2 linked regions of the Astyanax mexicanus genome follow. The protein of the gene in region 1 purifies or fractionates together with the protein of each later gene. This does not show direct contact. Links are inferred from orthologs where the notes say so. Each region holds a gene or a part of one and is shown in the gene's direction. Other genes may lie near its edges.

What was found. The genes of interacting proteins can lie anywhere in the genome.
Region 2: the proteins of myosin-9 (region 1) and usp11 purify together in Homo sapiens (affinity purification with mass spectrometry; 3 studies listed by BioGRID, with this or other methods). This does not show direct contact. The link is inferred for Astyanax mexicanus from reciprocal best matches to the Homo sapiens genes MYH9 and USP11.

The regions. Positions count from the first base shown.
Region 1 is NC_064410.1:18,744,433-18,753,312, forward strand, and holds the start of myosin-9, read left to right. Parts: upstream 1-5,039; 5' UTR 5,040-5,196; intron 5,197-8,880. UniProt on the Homo sapiens protein: Cellular myosin that appears to play a role in cytokinesis, cell shape, and specialized functions such as secretion and capping. Required for cortical actin clearance prior to oocyte exocytosis. Promotes cell motility in conjunction with S100A4.
Region 2 is NC_064419.1:3,820,112-3,828,441, reverse strand, and holds the start of usp11 (ubiquitin carboxyl-terminal hydrolase 11), read left to right. Parts: upstream 1-4,492; 5' UTR 4,493-4,620; coding exon 4,621-4,730; intron 4,731-6,392; coding exon 6,393-6,502; intron 6,503-8,330. Other genes in the region: si:dkey-222n6.2 (keratin, type II cytoskeletal cochleal), read left to right, coding at 650-696, 821-915.

The DNA.
Region 1 (8,880 bases):
CATTCTACAAAAATCAGGTCTAACAGATAATTAACATATAAAATACAAATACAACACCCAAGAGAAGGTAAATTTGGGTGGTAGACAACTTACTGATGGTAAGTAACCTGGAAGTCTTTCTGGACCACAAACTATGGAATGAGTTGCCACTGTTTGTTAGGTTAGCCCCCTCACTGTCGACTTTTAAATCCCGCCAGAAATCTCATTTGTTTTAATAGATTCCTTGTTTATTAATTACTGTACAGCACTTTGGTCAACATTTGTTGTTAAAAAAATAAAATTGACATTGACATATATAGTATGGTGCAAGGAACCAACAATGGTAAAAGAGCTTTAGCACATGCATAGTATATAAAAAGTTGGTTGAAACCCTTTTTTTTTAGTAGCTATACAAACAAAGTCCTTTAAATTTGTATATTTTGTTGTACTGGCCAGTTACACTCAGCATGATAATTTTACTCCATCTGACAGTTTAGAGTATGTGGATGTCTTAGCACTTTTGCTAAAAGAGCTGTCGCTCTGTGTGACTGACTGGAGATGTGGAAGTTGTGTCTGCGTGACCGGCAGGGTCACAACTCTTCATCCGAAGCTCAAGGATGTTTGTGAAAGTCTGGCGTCAACATAGCCCCCCCCTTTACCCGAGAGAGAAAGAGAGAGGGAGAGATAGAGAGAGTAACAGAGACACTCTTACATATATAAAAAGGAATGTTTAAATAAACAACTCAAAATATGACTGAAAAAAAATACTTAAAAATCTGGCAATAACAAACAGTGATAAAATATAAACATTGACATTGAAAAAAACGTCCCAGCTTTTCATTAAAACAATTTCTGGTAGAAAATGTTACTTTTTTTCTATTTCTGGTTGAAAGTGAAAGGTGAAAAGATGTAAAATGAGGTCTATATGAGACCAACACAAGATAGCACATAATTAGAATAGAGTAGAGTAGAGTAGAACAAAAATGATATATGGTTTTCAAAGATTTTAATAAAAATAATACAAATCTGTAAAAAAGTGTGATGTGCAAAAGTATTTAGCCTTCTTTACTCTAAATCCCCTAAATAAAATCCAGTGCAATCAACTGCCTTAAGAAATCACATAATTAGTTAACAGAGTCCAGCTGTGTGTAATTTAGTCTCAGTATAAATGTTCTCTTCTGTGGTTTGTTGGAGAACACTAGTGAACAAACAGCATCATGAAGACCAAATAACTCACCAGACAGGTCAGAGATAAATTTGTGGAGAAGTTGTCTCAAGCTTAGAGCATCCCAAAAAGCACTGTACAATCCATCATCCAGAAAAAAAGTATTATATACCTGCAAACCTACCAAGACATGACAGTCCATCTAAACTGACAGATCGAGCAAGGAGAGCACTGGTCAGAGAAGCAGCCAAGAGGCCCAAGGTCACTCTGAAAGAGCTGCAGAAATCCACAGCTCAGGTGGGAGAATCTGTATACAGGACAACTATAAGTTGTGCACTCCACAAACCTGCCGTTTATGGATAAGTGTCACAAACAAAACCAATGTTGAAAGAAAGACGTGATAAGAAGTGTCGCTTGCAGTTTGCCACAAGCCATGGAAGATACACAGCAAACATGTGGAAGAAGACGCTGTGGTCAGATGAGACCAGTGCTGGTAACTTTTTGGCCTAAATGCAAAGGGCTTTGTGTGGTAAAAAAGTAACACAGCTCATCACCCTGAACACACCATCCCCACTGTGAAGCATGGTGGTGGCAGCATCATGCTGTGTGGATGTTTTTTTCAGCAGGGACAGGGAAGTTGGTCAAAATTAATGGGAAGATGGATGGAGCCAAATACAGGACAATCCTGGAAGAAAACCTGTTGGAGGCTGCAAAAAACTTGAGACTGGGAAGGAGATTCAGCTTCCAGCAAGACAATGAGCCTAAACATACAGCCAGAGCTACAGTGGAATGATTAAAATCAAAGAATATTCATGTGTTAGAAAGGCCCAGTCAAAGTTCTGACCAAAATCCCATCCAGCATCTGTCGCAAGACATGAAAATTGCTGTTCACAGATGCTCTCCATCCAACCTGGCTGAGCTTTAGCTTTTTTGCAAAGAAAAATTGGCAAACATCTCAGTATCTACATGTACAAAGTTCATTGAGACATACCCAAAAATACCTACAGCTGAAATTGCAGTGAAATGTGGCTCTACTAAGTGTTGGTATACTGAAAGGGTTAATAGGCTGATTACTTTTGCACATCTCTGTTTCAGATTTTATTTGATAAAAAAATCGGAAATCATTATAATTTTAGTTCTTTTTATTATATCACTTAAAATATCAATAAATTACATTTAAGTTTGTGGTTTGTGGCAAAATGTGAAAAACATTTAAGTAACATGAAAATTTGTAGTATTTACTAAAAGCTCTGACATTCTAGCATTTTTGTTTTATTTTAGTGCTATATAAAAGGTTTTTCACAAGTTCTTTAGCAAAGTCAACATCTCAATGAATCATTTACACATCTGACCTATAGTTAAACTGCTATTCAAATTCAGAAGTACTTAAACTTTCTTGTAGATATTTTTTTAAATACTTTTTTAACACAAACTGATTACTGTGTTGTTTTTAATATGTAGTTTTTAGGACATCCTGGGTTCAGATGTTTCTTTAAAGTAAAGTAAACCAACCCTTTAACCCATTAAGCTACGATGGTTCTCAATGAAACCCTTGTCTTTAATAAGAACCTTCAAAAATCCCATAATCACACAGTAAGCGTGTCTACCTGTAATTAATTCTATATACCGTTAAAATGAACACAACTAAACCCTAACAAAGTCAGTAGTCAGAAAATGCTTTTAAGCTACTTTTAAAATCTGTTACAGACTATAGTAAAGCAGTGAAGCAGGCTGGGAGCAGAACCAACACAATACAAGGAAATTAAAGACAGGACATTATGTAATTAATGCATTAATACGAAGGAGTAAAGTGGAATAAACATGGATTACTCATAGGCTCATGCTGTAAAGCTCAGAAAATGCTCAGAAAAGTGCAAATGTGTGTAATTGTGTTTAATTATAGTTTGAGTTAAGTGAATAGAACTAGTTAGGTTTATTGCAGGTCTCATCCTCTCAGCCTTTAATTCAATCCCAACAACAGCTCATTTTAGACTCAAGGAGATAGAAAGAGAAAGAGGAGCAGAATAGAAGGAATAAGATGAGGAGATTAAAGGCTAGAAAAATGATGTAAATTCAGTCCAGGAGATCCAGAGTCTGGGCAGGCAGCAGAACTAGATTCCAGTTCCTCACCCAGAGATTAATGCCTGTTTTGTATTTCATTTTTAGATGAATATGAGCTCAGGTATGTGGAATATTCCATTCATCATCACACAGGGACTTCACAATACTGCAGGAGGAACAAAAAACACAGACTGCAGGAACACAACAACCTAATTAAATCTGGACACTGTGCCCCACCAACCAACAGAGCAAATACAAAATGTGCTCAAGTACACAACAAGTTTCAAAACATCCCTATTGTTTTATTTGATCATCTTAACAATGTCTTTATTACTGCATGTTACCTGCCACCTCTAATTCTTCTCTCCACTGCTAAAACTGAGACTTTTTAGATTTACAGTGTTAATCTGAGCTAAAGATGTTGCCATGTGGGTCAGCCTGTAGCAGTTTTCTCCAGTTTCCAAGAGTCTTTTGAAGATGTCGGAAATCACTCTCTGGCTTTATCTAAAGAATAAAATTATAGTTACAAAATTTCCACAGTCTTATTATCATCATCAACTAATTATCATCAGTTAGATTAAATCTGATTTGCCAGCAAACCAATTGTGGTATACTCCAAAATCTTTAGCTAACTGTTTATTTAAACTATTTGTATGTTTAAGTGAAACATTTTTATCTCCATAATCTAACTTCTGAGGTAAACAAAATGCTACATAAGTATAGAAAATTAATGACACAAAATGAATGTCAAAAAAATGTGCACAAAATTCTGAACTCAACAAATGCTTATATATAAAATAGTGTTGTCAGTGTTAACCTGGTAACACACACACACACACACACACACACACACACACACACACACACACACACACACACACACACACACACACACACACACACACACAATTAATCTAGAAAGCGCTTTAATTTTATTTTACCAAATATCTGCAGTAACTTTTTCCAGAGCCTGGTGATGCATTAGCCATTTTTAGCAATATTTAGTGATGTAAAGATACATTTAAACAAACATATTTGAATACAAATAAAACCATTTAGATGACCTTGACATTGATTCTTTTTAATTACATTTAAATATCTATTACTAAAAGTTTAAGTGTTACAAAAATATTTTTTTTATCGTTTGACAAACCGATGTTTTTTTCCAGGATTCTACACAAAACTTCACTTTTAAAAGTAAGTGTTTAAATGTTTTAAATGGTAAAGATGAATGAGTGTGATAAACCTGTCTACAATAGTGGGGGCCTGAACTGAGGCCTATTCATAATCTAGCGCACAAAAAAGGGAGAGAAACAGGGAAAGGGGGGGGGGGGTGGACTGCATTGGTAATTCCTGGCATTCCTCCGTGTTTTGTGGGAGTGTGTGTGCGGAGCTGCAGACAGTGACACACCGGGGTCGAGGGGCTGCTGGTGGGTCCGTCCCGCGCAGCCCGGCTACTTATATGGTCATAAAAGTCCTCGGCTGCTCAGACCGTCCCGTTAAACTCTAAACTCCGGGAGAGGCAGGCCCCGCCCCCACTCCTCCGCCCCGCCCCCTTCCCGCTCTCTCATACTTTAGCTCCGGTTCGTTTTCGCACTTTTGGGCTTCTGATTGGCCGAAGCCGCCTGAACGCTACGCGCTGACTGGCAGAGAAGTGAGGAAGTGGGCGTGGCGTACAAACCGCGCCGGCCCCGCCCTCTCTGGACCGCACCCCGAGCCAGTAGGCGAAACAGTGCAAGTGGAAGAGAGGGAGGGAGAAGAGAGAGCAGAAAAAAATAGTAAAAGAGTGAGAGAGAGAGAGAGAGAGAGAGAGAGAGAGAGAGAGAGAGAGAGAGAGAGAGAGAGAGAGAGAGAGCAAAAGAGACGAAAGAGGAGAGAGCGCGCTAGCCTGAAGAGAGGTTGCAGCGGACAGGCGGTTTTTGCAAAGCTGCTACGACCAGGATAAGCACCGGTTCTTGTTAAGTCAACCTTAAAGCAGCTGGAATAAGCAGGTAAGTTGTTTTTATAGTTTTTACAAGGCGTATTTTCCACCCATCTGCTCTAAAGAGCAAAGTGCACTGAAGCAGGAAGGACGAGCCAGGCTCAAAGTTGGCTTTCAAGTCTAACTCTGCGGTCCACCTTAAATGGGACAGACGTTCCATTGCTCCGGCCACTGAGGCGCCAGAACGTAACTGTAAAGTGCCATGGAACTGCTTCACTATTTAAGGTGGAATGGGAAAAGTGAACGAGATGCTAACTTCAGCTTCAACGTTGAAGGGCGAGGGGAGTAAAGCTTGGCCGGGAGGGACTCTAAACGAGATCGCAACACAGTTTCATCTCCACGCGCACTTTCTTTTACGAGTTTAAGCAGTTCTAAACTTCGCTGCTGCTGCAGGTAGACTTGTTCGAGGGGAAAAAACAAAGCGGTGAAGTTACAGGAAGCGACGACCTGCTCGCATGAATGAGTTGCATAAAAATGGAGGGAGAGAGGGGAGAGGGAGGGAGGGAGCAGCCGGAGCCCGTTACCGGGCCGGGACTCCCCCCGCCAGATCCGGGAGCGCGTTAGCGGGGCGGGGTGGGTTTTACTCTGGGTGTAAATCACCGGCGCGGCTCCACGCGAGACACTCGCTCTCGGATGGTTCATCGTGTTACACGCGGTGACGTCATCGCCCGATTCCGGTGTTCTGTGGAGTTGTGCTACCCTGTCAAACCGTGCTACCCTAGTGTTTAATGTTTAACTGTAAAAATAAAAAATATTAGAACATGCTGCATGCAGTAGAAGTGTCGGTATAATCATATCTGAATAGCCTAGATCGCTGTATCAGGATAAAGTTAAAGCAACATAGGTTAAACAGGTTAAAACAAGGCAACATGACTGAAAACATTTTTATTTATTTTTATTATTATATTTGTTAGTTTTTTTACACGGTTGTAACATTCAGGCAAACGATGACTGTGAGTCCAGATTGTACAATGCACCTGGGGGGAAAAAACTGAAAACTAAATTACCAGGAACTAGAGGTGGGTAACACAGGTCCAGCAAGTAGAAATCTAACTCAGGGTTTTGTACCAGCTGCCTGGAATTTTACTTTCTGGACCTGGGCTACCCACCTCTAGGAAAGAACACATGAAAACAGTAAAGATGAGATTTTTGCGCATGCGCAGAGCCGCTAAGTATCACATATCGACGGGTAGCACAACTCGATAGAACACCTGGCTCCCTGTGTCAGTGACGTAGCGCAGCTAACCCGCGGATCGATACTCCCGATCAGTTTTTGTAGCTTATACATCAGAGAGAATGCATCATTCAATATAAGAAAGAACGAGTAACACTTTTAGCTATATGTACACATATTAACCTTGTCTGTAAGTCTCTCTCCTTTGTTCCATTGCAACATTACTAAACCCCTCAGTTTGAATACCTCTGGATTAACTTTTAATAGGTGCTTTAACCAGTTTGGGGAAAGTTTAGCTGAACTTTCTGGAATGAGTGTGTGTAATAAGTGTTTTAGAAAAGCCATTCAAAAATAAATGTGCACACAAACACACTTATGTGTGGGTTTTGTTATGTAAGCAAAAATGAGAGTTTTACAGGCTAAGAAAAGTATGGTAAATTCTGACATTCAACTCTCTATTCATGTCAAATGCAGAATGTCAACTAAATACTGGTTTAGATGTAAAATTATTATCACAATAAAGACATTTCACCATACGCAGAATATTTCCATCCATATTTTACAGCAAGATTTCAAAACCTGTTCCATATTTGGAACATTGAAAACTGGTTGCCTTTCCATCTAACAGAACTGGGAATTATTTGCATTCCATTTAATCTCGAATTTCCAATAGAATCCAATATGGCAACCTCACACATCAGCAGTTGTAAAGCAATATTATTATAGAGTTTATCACTTCTATCTATAAGTGTTTCATTAAATCCATCCAACACACAGTTCTGTACTACTTCTATCTGCACATGATTACATGCTGTTTGGATGTGCAAAATAATTCCTTCATTATCAGTTGGTTTCACAAACAATTCTAACAAGGGATAAGGCTATCCAGGACAAGGGATAATCCAGGACATAAAAAGTGGGAAAAGTATTGGTTAGATTTACCATAAAACACCGTAAAAACACTTGTGATTTATATTTTGACCTGGAATAGTGTATGACATAATACCTAGCTGCACCATCCAACATGTAAGCTAAATGGAATGCAGCATAATTACTTAATTGTGCTCTTTGAAGAATGAAATGTGCAGGTTTCACCCAGTGAAACCAATCAGATCTGTAAATTAATGATCATGGAAGATCAGAGATTGCTAGGTAGTTAGGTTATATGGTAGCTACTTTTTCAACAAAAAACATATTTGACACAAAACAGTCACAATTTGAAACATAATTTTCAGATTTGCTTAAAAATGTAAATTTGGTTAAATATGAATACAGAAAGATTCCATTTAGGTAGATCAGTTAATATTGTAAATATTAACACATACAGTGTAGATCGCACTCGCTATAATATAATGTTGGCTCAGGTAATATAGGCAACACACAGAGTGTGTTCTTTTTCTCATTCTGCTCAAATTTCGTGGTAAAATAGTTAAAGATTAAATATTGTCACTATTAAACTGATAATTTGCCTCAGTCAGTTGTATATATGTATTTTTTAAGAGCATGTATTAAGCTGACTTTGGGACTCAAAACAATAGCGATACTAAATCATTATTATTTAAACTTCTTTTAGCTAACTATTTTGTAGATGCTTTATTATTATGCATATTCATATAAAATTATCTATATTCACTGGATAATAAATGTAACCTTGTTTAAGATCGTATGATAGTAGTAGAACAGTGCTGGGGGAATTTACCATGATTATCACAGGTAAGATTGTTCGTAAAGAGGCTGCTTGTTGTCTTCTAAGTGAATTTAGAAGAAATTCTTCTTCTTGTCTCAGGGCCTGCTGTGCCATGCTGTGATTTCCTGGATGGGGAATCGAACCCCCCAGACTTCCCGTTCCTGAGTGCGTTGAATGGTTTAGATTTGTACCGTTGCCCTAAATTCCAGCTCATTGTGGAGATAAGAGTTGCTGCAGGGCTCGGGGAGGGAGGCTCGGGAACGCTGCTGTTCTGGGGAATGTGATCACACCCTGATTTGTCCAGCCTGACCTCTGGGACACAGAATTAGCCTGTAGAGTGCGTGATTACGTACGCCTGCTCTGCCTGGGGTTTCGAGTGTCTTTAATCGTAATGAAGTGGGGCTGTAAATTCCTGAATTTGTGCTGAAACTGGCAGACGTGTCCGGTGGCAGCACTACAGAGTCTCTGTTGGGTAATTACCAGCTGTCTGCACTGTGGCATGTCTGAAATGGGCTGAACATCATATTGCACGTTAATTACAATATTGCCCTTTGGTGTATGGATGTTGTGGAAGGCTGAAATACGCAAATGAGGTTTAGGCAAATTACTACAATTTTCCTTTCATACTGCAAATCCTGACAGATGTTCTGTGTGAATCGAGGCATTAAGGCATTTACCTAGTTCAGCATGTTTTTATTATATTTCAAGGCCTATCCATTGCAATGTGTAGCAGTACAAGGTTATTGATATGGCTTGTGCTCAGTGGCCCGTTTTGACTACATTGATAAATTGGAACTAGGCCTGTCACAATAATTATTGCTCATGGATGACTT
Region 2 (8,330 bases), on another chromosome or scaffold:
GTTAGCATTTTCATTAATGGAATTAATTTACTGGGCCTACAAGTAAAAGTAAACATTTTAAAGGGTAGTTATTCACCTATTCTTAAACTTTTTATGGTCTTGGTTACTTGTATTGTAGTTGTCATGCAGATCAGACAGACAACAGACACACGTGGATACCGAACACACAGTATGGCAGCAAATGTAATAAACATACCAGTAGAGTAGTTGGGTCAAACAGGGTCATACACAGAAAATCATACACAGAAAATCCAGTAGAAAAGGGGCTTGGCAAAAGAGTAGTCAAAAATACAAAAATAGATCTGCAACAGAAACAAACAATAAAGAGGAGCTAGCTAACTAGATTCAATACTTGGCAAGGGACAGAAAAACAGAGGGGTGTATATATATAGGACAAGCCAGGTGCAAACAATCAGTAACCGGGAGAGCAGGAACAGCATAGCGTCACGTGATCAGCAGAGTCAGGGAAGTCCCAAGTCCTGTGTAAGTGCATGCTGGGAAATAGAGTCTTTATTGTGTAGTTCAGAGCCCAGAGCAGGCAAACTCTGAGACAGTATCAGGACTGACAGTATTAATCAAATTGTACTGAAATTATGAAATGTGATGGAATTATCTAAAAAAAACACTTTTTTTGTTTTTCATCTTTTAGAATTGAACAACAATCGGTCATACATGTCCAGAAGGTCCCAAAAAACAGTGAGTATCAATACTGTATATTCATTTACATCAATGCTAATAAGGATCCCCACAAAGTATGTCCTCTAGACATTTACCAGCAGCCTTCAGTACCAGTTAAATATTTTTCCCTTATCTTTTTCAGACCTTGCTGTGCCTCCGGTACGCAACTCTCCTTCTAAGGTCCTCATTAAGATGTTCGAGACTCAGGACAACAGCGTGTTCCCTTCTCACAGATAAAATATACCTATTAGTTGATATTTAGTTGATTGTGTGTGTATCTGTCAACAGCACAGGACAGCAGCTGCTCATCTTCCTTATCTTTCTCAAGTTATTCATCTCTTTCATGTATGTTCTGTTCTGGATTCATCTTTTAGATCTGATACTGAACATGTTCAAATATTAATAAAGTTTTTTTTTTTCAATACTGAGCCTTTTTTGTGTCTGGTACAGGTGCAGGTACAATAGTAGATGCCAAATAATAATAATAATTGCTAAAATAAAATGTGGCTGTCCACCGTTGCTAGGCTGTTGCTATGTGGTCACTAGGATTAAGATGTTTTATTAAGTGGTTCACATGGTATTCTATGTGGATGCAGTTACTACAGTATTTCAGGCAGTTCCTAAGGTGTTGCTAAGTAGGTACTATACTAAGGTGATTGTAGGTGGTTGAGATTATTGTAGGGTGTGTTGCTAAGGTATATCACATGCTTGTTTCCAGGGGAATTTCATGAAGTTACTACAACTATTGGATGGATCTCCACATTTGCTAGGTAATGCTGGGGTGTTGATACAATAGTAACTATAATATTCCAGGCAGTTACTAAGGTGTTGCTAAGGTGTTCATAAGTGGTTGCTTAGGTGTGTAGCTAAGGTATTTCACATGCTTGTTACTTCATCCCATTTTGATAGTATTGAATTGGTCTTTATCACTCCATATTCCACAGTTGCTAGGTGGATGCTGGGGTGTTGATAAAATATTTGCTATAATATTTCAGGAAGTTACTAACCTGTTGATAAGGTGTTCATAGGTGGTTGCTAGGGTGTGTTGCTAGGGTATTTCACATGCTTGTTACTTTATCCCATCTTAAGAGTATTAAATGGGTTTCCATCACTCAACATTCCACTGTTGTTAGGTTGTTGTAATGTGGTTTCTTTGATATTTCTGGTGATTACTAATAAGAAGCCCAAGGTTGTGTGTTATGGTGGTTTTAAGCTGTTCATGTTTGGTTTTTGTGATACATCAGGTAGCAGCTAGGCCAGATGATAAGGTATATGTATCAGCTGGTTGCTGAGGTATTACAGGTGGTTACTCCATCTTAATCATGAGGTTAAAGCCAAAATAGACCCCCGGTACTATCCAGAGGTAAAATGCATGTTAATACAACGTGTAAATAGACTCATACAGTCTTTTACCATTACTATTACCACGTGTATGGTATTACTGATATATGTACACATCATAAAATGCTGGCAGGCTCACTGAGTACAGCCCAGGGTGTCATAACCTACACGTCTGTGGAATTTAGTTTTAATTGTCAGTACACTGTAAAGGAATTTTAACCTTCCTAAATGTGGTCATGCATAAATCATCCCCACCCATATTTAAACGCTAATTATTTTAACTGCATTGTTGCCCTTGTTACGTTGGCACGCTGACCGGGCTGCAATGAACGCCATTGAAGAATGCAAAGAACCTCAAATCTCAATCTAATCTGACTGCGGTTTTAAAAGACATGATTAATATTGCAGCCTAAGTGCAGGATTCCTACCTCTCCCTGACTATTATCTCACCTACATCCTCTTTAAAGCAACAGGTAGTTTCAGTAGGAAATTCTGTTCTGAGAAACAGAAACTGGCCTGATAAGATTCCAAAATAACAACTGGAGTAAAAGACTAAACTGGTCTGTAGTGAAACCTAACGATGCTTCGTAGCGAAGTCACGTGTGAATATCACATGATTACACTTAAGTGCAAAACTAATGTGCTTTTTAATTTCTTCACAGAAATAAATCTAAGCATTTAAAAAAAACATATAAAGCTATATAAAGCTGGAAAAGCTGAATTTACTTAAATAATTTAAGGAAACTGATGTAGGCCACAACATCGAGGCCAGGTAGGAAATCACAATTAATGATCTACAGGTTTACCTATGGTAGTCTGGGGGGAATGACAACACACTGACGGTGGGTGTCAGAAACTGAGGGACACACCCAGTATGCAAAACAATTGTGCCAGAAGCCAATTAAAAAGATGCTGCCAATGGCAACAGACTTAATTCGACTTGATTCAACTCAAACATCTCCTTTTGAGTGTGCTGTATATGGTTCTATTCTATTCTCAAACTCTATTCTTCTGCTATTCTGAAGTTGACGGGATTAAACATTTCTCTTCAGTTTCTTGACAAGCAGCAGTTAGACAGTTGCACCACTCTATAGCTATAAAATCAAGTTAGTTTTTAATAGAGAATGAAAAGGTTAATTTAATCAGAACTGTGTTTTTATGCAGTGTAATTTCACAGCTCTAGAGTGGCCCTACAGTCTAACTGCTGCTCATCAGATATGAGGAGATGATTAGTTTAAATCCAGGAAATAGGTCAGTGATCTGTTGTCAAATGCAGCTCATTTATTTATGTTTTAAAGCACATCTCAATATGTATTGCTGATCAAATTGAGAGACAGAAGTAAAAAAAAAGTTAGGAAAACTTTTGATTAAATTAAGGCATTGATTTCCATGTGGCTATATAAGATATAAGCTGTTTGAGCACAGCAGTGTGTGCACCTTAGATCAGCTGAACAGTAATGTGATGGACAATCTCGCCATCTAGTGTTGTTTGCTTTAAAAACTGCACCAATCTATTAATTGAACTTTGAATGTCTTTACATACACAGTGCCAGTACAAAGTTTGGAACCACCTTCTGAGTTTTATTTTTCTTTTCTACATTTTTGTTTAAAATTAAATAGATCAAAAGTATGACATGGTAATATACAGTTGAGTCTATATTTTATGCTTTTCAAAAAAAGTTCTGAAGTTGTTCAGAGTAGTCAACTTTTGCTTTGATGAAATATAAAGCTATACTATACTATATTAATTTCTGGGCAAATAGACAAGCCCCCACAAGGGTTTTTTTTGCTTCTGACATCCCTGAATCAAGGGCCCATTTAGGTTTTAATGTTATGGCTGATCAGTGCACAGCTAAGGTAGAATATACAGCTCTGGACAAAAATAAGAGACCACTTAAAAATGATGTGTTTCTTTAATTTAACCAAATTGAAAGCCTCTGGCATATAATCAAGAGGAAGATGAATGATCACAAGCCATCAAACCAAACTGAATATTTAATTTTTTGCAACAGGAGTGGCATAAAGTTATCCAAAAGCAGTGTGTAAGACTGGTGGAGGAGAACATGCCGAAATACATAAAAACTGTGATTAAAAACAGGGTTATTGCACCAAATATTGAGTTTTGGACTCTAATAACTTTATGAATATGAAGTTGTTGTTGTTGTTTGTATTATTTATGGTCTGCATCTTTTTTTATTTTAGGTATTTCTCATTTTCTGCAAATACACATAAATAGTCTATATGGCAATATTTTTATTTGAAATTTGGGAGAAACGTTGTCTCTCGTTTATAGAATAAAACAACAATGTTGTCTTTACATTGTTTTATTCAAACATATGCCTATAAATAGTAAAATCAGAGAAGCTGGTCATTTAAAGTGATCTAATTTTTTGCCAGAGCTGTATATTTATATATATAATTTATAATAAACACACAACTTACAACACATAAGTTACGCCCCTTCCATTTAACCCCGCCCACTTTCGTGTAAGGAAGTCATCATCAGAAGCTCTTCCTTCTTCCTGCGATATAATAATAATAATTTGCGGTGTTTCTCCGCTGGGTTCTGCTGGATTTTCGCGTCGTATTAAATGAATCATTATGGCCTCGACCTGCAGTGGCGTGGCGACGGAGCCTCCGGGGCTGGAGACGCAGCGGGCGGAGATCGAGACGCTGATGCGGGAAGAGGAGCTGCGGGTCGGGGAGAGCTGGTGAGAGTCAGTCCGGCTGCTGCTGGGAAGAAACTCAGAGCTGCAGAGCTCAGTGGCTACAGTACTGTATTAACTGGCTTACTGAGGGCTGGATGCGCTTAATACGCACATATACTCTCAGATATCTCTGCCTGTGCTGATATAAACACATAATAATAAATGTTATTAAAATGTTTAGATGCTGGAGGATGTCTGAGCTTCAGCTGTTGGCTGGGTAACAAGCTTTGGTGGCGTTTAGTTAGTCAAGCTAATGGTTTTGGGCTTTAATGACAGATATATTTTACCAGCTAACTTAGCTAGCTAACACAATTTAGACAATAAAGTCATGAATGTGGGTTTTGTGGAGTGGGTTAGCTGGTAGGAACAGTTCCTGATTAAGTTACACTCATATATTTTCAGTCAGGCTTTTTTAGGAACAGAAAGAAGCTAACGTTAACTAGCTAACCTAATTTAGCTAGGTTAACCTAGTTAGCTTACAGCTAGCTTGTTATGTTATTTAACTAGTTAATGCTGCTTTCAAATGCTTTTAGAAAGAGACAGCGTAGCTTATATCTTACTGTGGGCAGACAGAGCTTATTTGAACACGTTAAGTGTCAAATTTAGCCTAGTCTGGATTAAGAGCTGTCAGTTAGCTAGGTTAGCTAGCAGCTTTGTCATTCCCAAGTTTCACTTTTGAGTTTGTTCCTCAGTCAACCGCCCTGTTTACATCAGTTTCGGTTTAGGCACAGGCTTTAGAGGAGAAGGGAAATTTACCCTGGACACACCTTTTCATCTTTAAAGTTGTATATATATATATATATATATATATATATATATATATATATACAAAAATGTGACATATAATGTGACATGTAATATAACAAATTGAATGTAACTGTAATGTAATGTTACAAAATTATCCACAAAACTAAAGTGCAGCATATATACTGTATGTATATAAACCACACATAACTGTAATTTATAGACTGTTTTTTGGAAGAACACTACTATAATCCATGTTTTTTGTACGTTTGTATGATACAATATGGCACAGTGCTATTTTGAACTGTGACATACATTTAAGTCAGTTAAAATTAATATTTGGACAGTTATACAATCTTCATGATTTGAGCTCTGCATGCCACCACACTGGATTTGAAATAAAACAAAAAAGATATAACTGAAGTAAAGACTTTTAGATTTAATTCAAGGGATTGAACAAATATATCCTATCAAGCGTTTAGGAATTGTAACCATTTATCTACAAAGCATTGGCAATGTCAGTGTTATCCCATAGTATTGTCAAGTGGAGACCTGAAAGCCCAAGAACTGCTAGTGTGCTTGAAAGAGAGCCAAATCCAAAACCTCCATATGAACACAATAATGTTTAGCTGTCAGTTAGCTAGGTTAGCTAGCAGCTTTGTCATTACCAAGTTTCACTTTTGAGTTTGTTCCTTAGTCATTCGCCCTGTTTTAGATCAGTTTCGGTTTGGGCACAGGCTTTAGAGGAGAAGGGAGATTTACCTTGACATACCTTCTCATTAAAAAATAAATAAATTAATTAATTAAATAATATATGTAATGAATGAATAAATGTAATGTAGTAAACCGCACATGTTAATAACTGTAATTAATAGACTGTTTTCTTAAACAACACTACTATTATTGTTCATTATCTTGCAGGTATCTGGTGGATTGTAGGTGGTTTGAGTTGTGGAAGGAATATGTGAAGACCGGAGACCAGAACTCCCCCTCTTTTCCTGGACAGATTGATAACACTGAACTGTTTGAGAGTGAGTCTTGCTTTAATAATAAAAGCGACACTCCAGTTTCATTTATATGTTGAAATCATAACATTTTTTAATTAATTATGTGACGTAGGTGTAGTTACAGTATTACACGTGGATGCTATAGTTTGATGTATGCAGTAATATATAGAATTAATGGTCAATTTTGTGCAAAGATTGAACATAATGCAAATTAAACACAGGAGCTAGCTTTTTTTTCTTCCTCAAATCAGGAGTTTTCCTCCTTACGTTGGCATGGTTTTAATATTTATTTATTTATTTAATTAATTTTCTACTTTTAGAATTTAAAAGAAGATATAACATGTTTAAGATATAAGATGTTAATATTTTACTGCTAAATATGCTACAGGCTCTATGCACATATAATAGTGTGTGTATGTATATACATATATGATACTAGGAGGTAACTTAGTAGGTAGATAACCACTTGTTTGACTGAACAGAGCTGAGTGTTTCCACTTGATTAGTGAAGGATGAGAGGAACTGATGAAACAATATATTATTAGTTAATACTGTTTTTCCCACCCACTGCTGTATGGTATGCTATGCTCAAAATCTGAATTTGTTTTAGAGGCATTAAAGTCATTAAGTTCTAATTATAATCATCATTATGATATGGTGGATTATGCATGGATCCTTGAGTCTTATACTTTTTCTTCCTTTCATCATTTTGCTTTGATTTAATGACAGAAAATGATAAATTTATTTAATACATGGATACTACTGAAATTAATATTGTTTAAATGATCAGAGAAAGTATTAAAACAAGTTAGATAAAGCTAACTATATAAGTTATAGTCTGATGTATAGCAGATATTTCTACAGTCATTCCTAAACAGCTTCATAGTGCTTTATTAAAATCAGGAAGCTTCAGAGAATAAGGAGTGGCTTTACTATGAGAAATGCAGACAGAACTGTTCATGTAGTAATAAGGAAACAGTTGTTTTTAATGGAACATATTTCTCATAGCAATGGACAGATGGACTTATACACATGCAGGCATTCTGTACACGGTATGTGGTGTGATATATCTTTGTTCTTCTGTGTGTTGAAGACTGTAGGGTTAATTCCTGTTGGATAAGATTATTATTATTATTATATATATTGTTTTACCTGTGGAGAAGCTATAATGTACTGTTAACCTAGGTTTTTTTGTTCATGAAGTCTTCTGTTGCTGATGTCCCTTACAGTTGTTAAAGGGTTTTCTAAACAGCACTCACAATGTTTCTGTCATCAACTGCTGCTGTTTTCTTTGGTCCACCTGTTCAACATCTGTTACTTAGTACACCAGTGATGACTTTCTTCTTCAGGACATTACAAACAGTTGCAGCAATGGTTCTGGTTGATTTTCCTTATTATTTCCTTATTATTCCTTAGGGGGAGTCTTAATGAGTGGGTTGGGAATTTGTCTTTCTAAATTGGCAAGAACATGGGATAAAATTCATAAAACATATAAATCATGTTTTCAATACAATAAGAAAATTGTTCACAATACAGTAAGCCTCCACAAATCCCAACATGTCATTGCAGTGTCAGCAGCTATACATACAGTTATGTTTTTATGAGAGTTGTCCTGTTTTTATAGAAATACATATTCTTGTGCTTGGTAATCCAGGCCCTCAAATGTTTAGTATCATCTTGATTCATGGAAGATCTGATGGATATCTAGTGAAGTCAGTTCTCTTTCTTGATAGATCTAGTGATGAATTTGTGATGTTTTTTCATAGCCACAAAATATGTAGTGGAAAATGAGAGAGGGTTTAAGCAGGGATTCGTGATGTTTGGTAAATGGCTCTCCAGTGCACAGTTCATC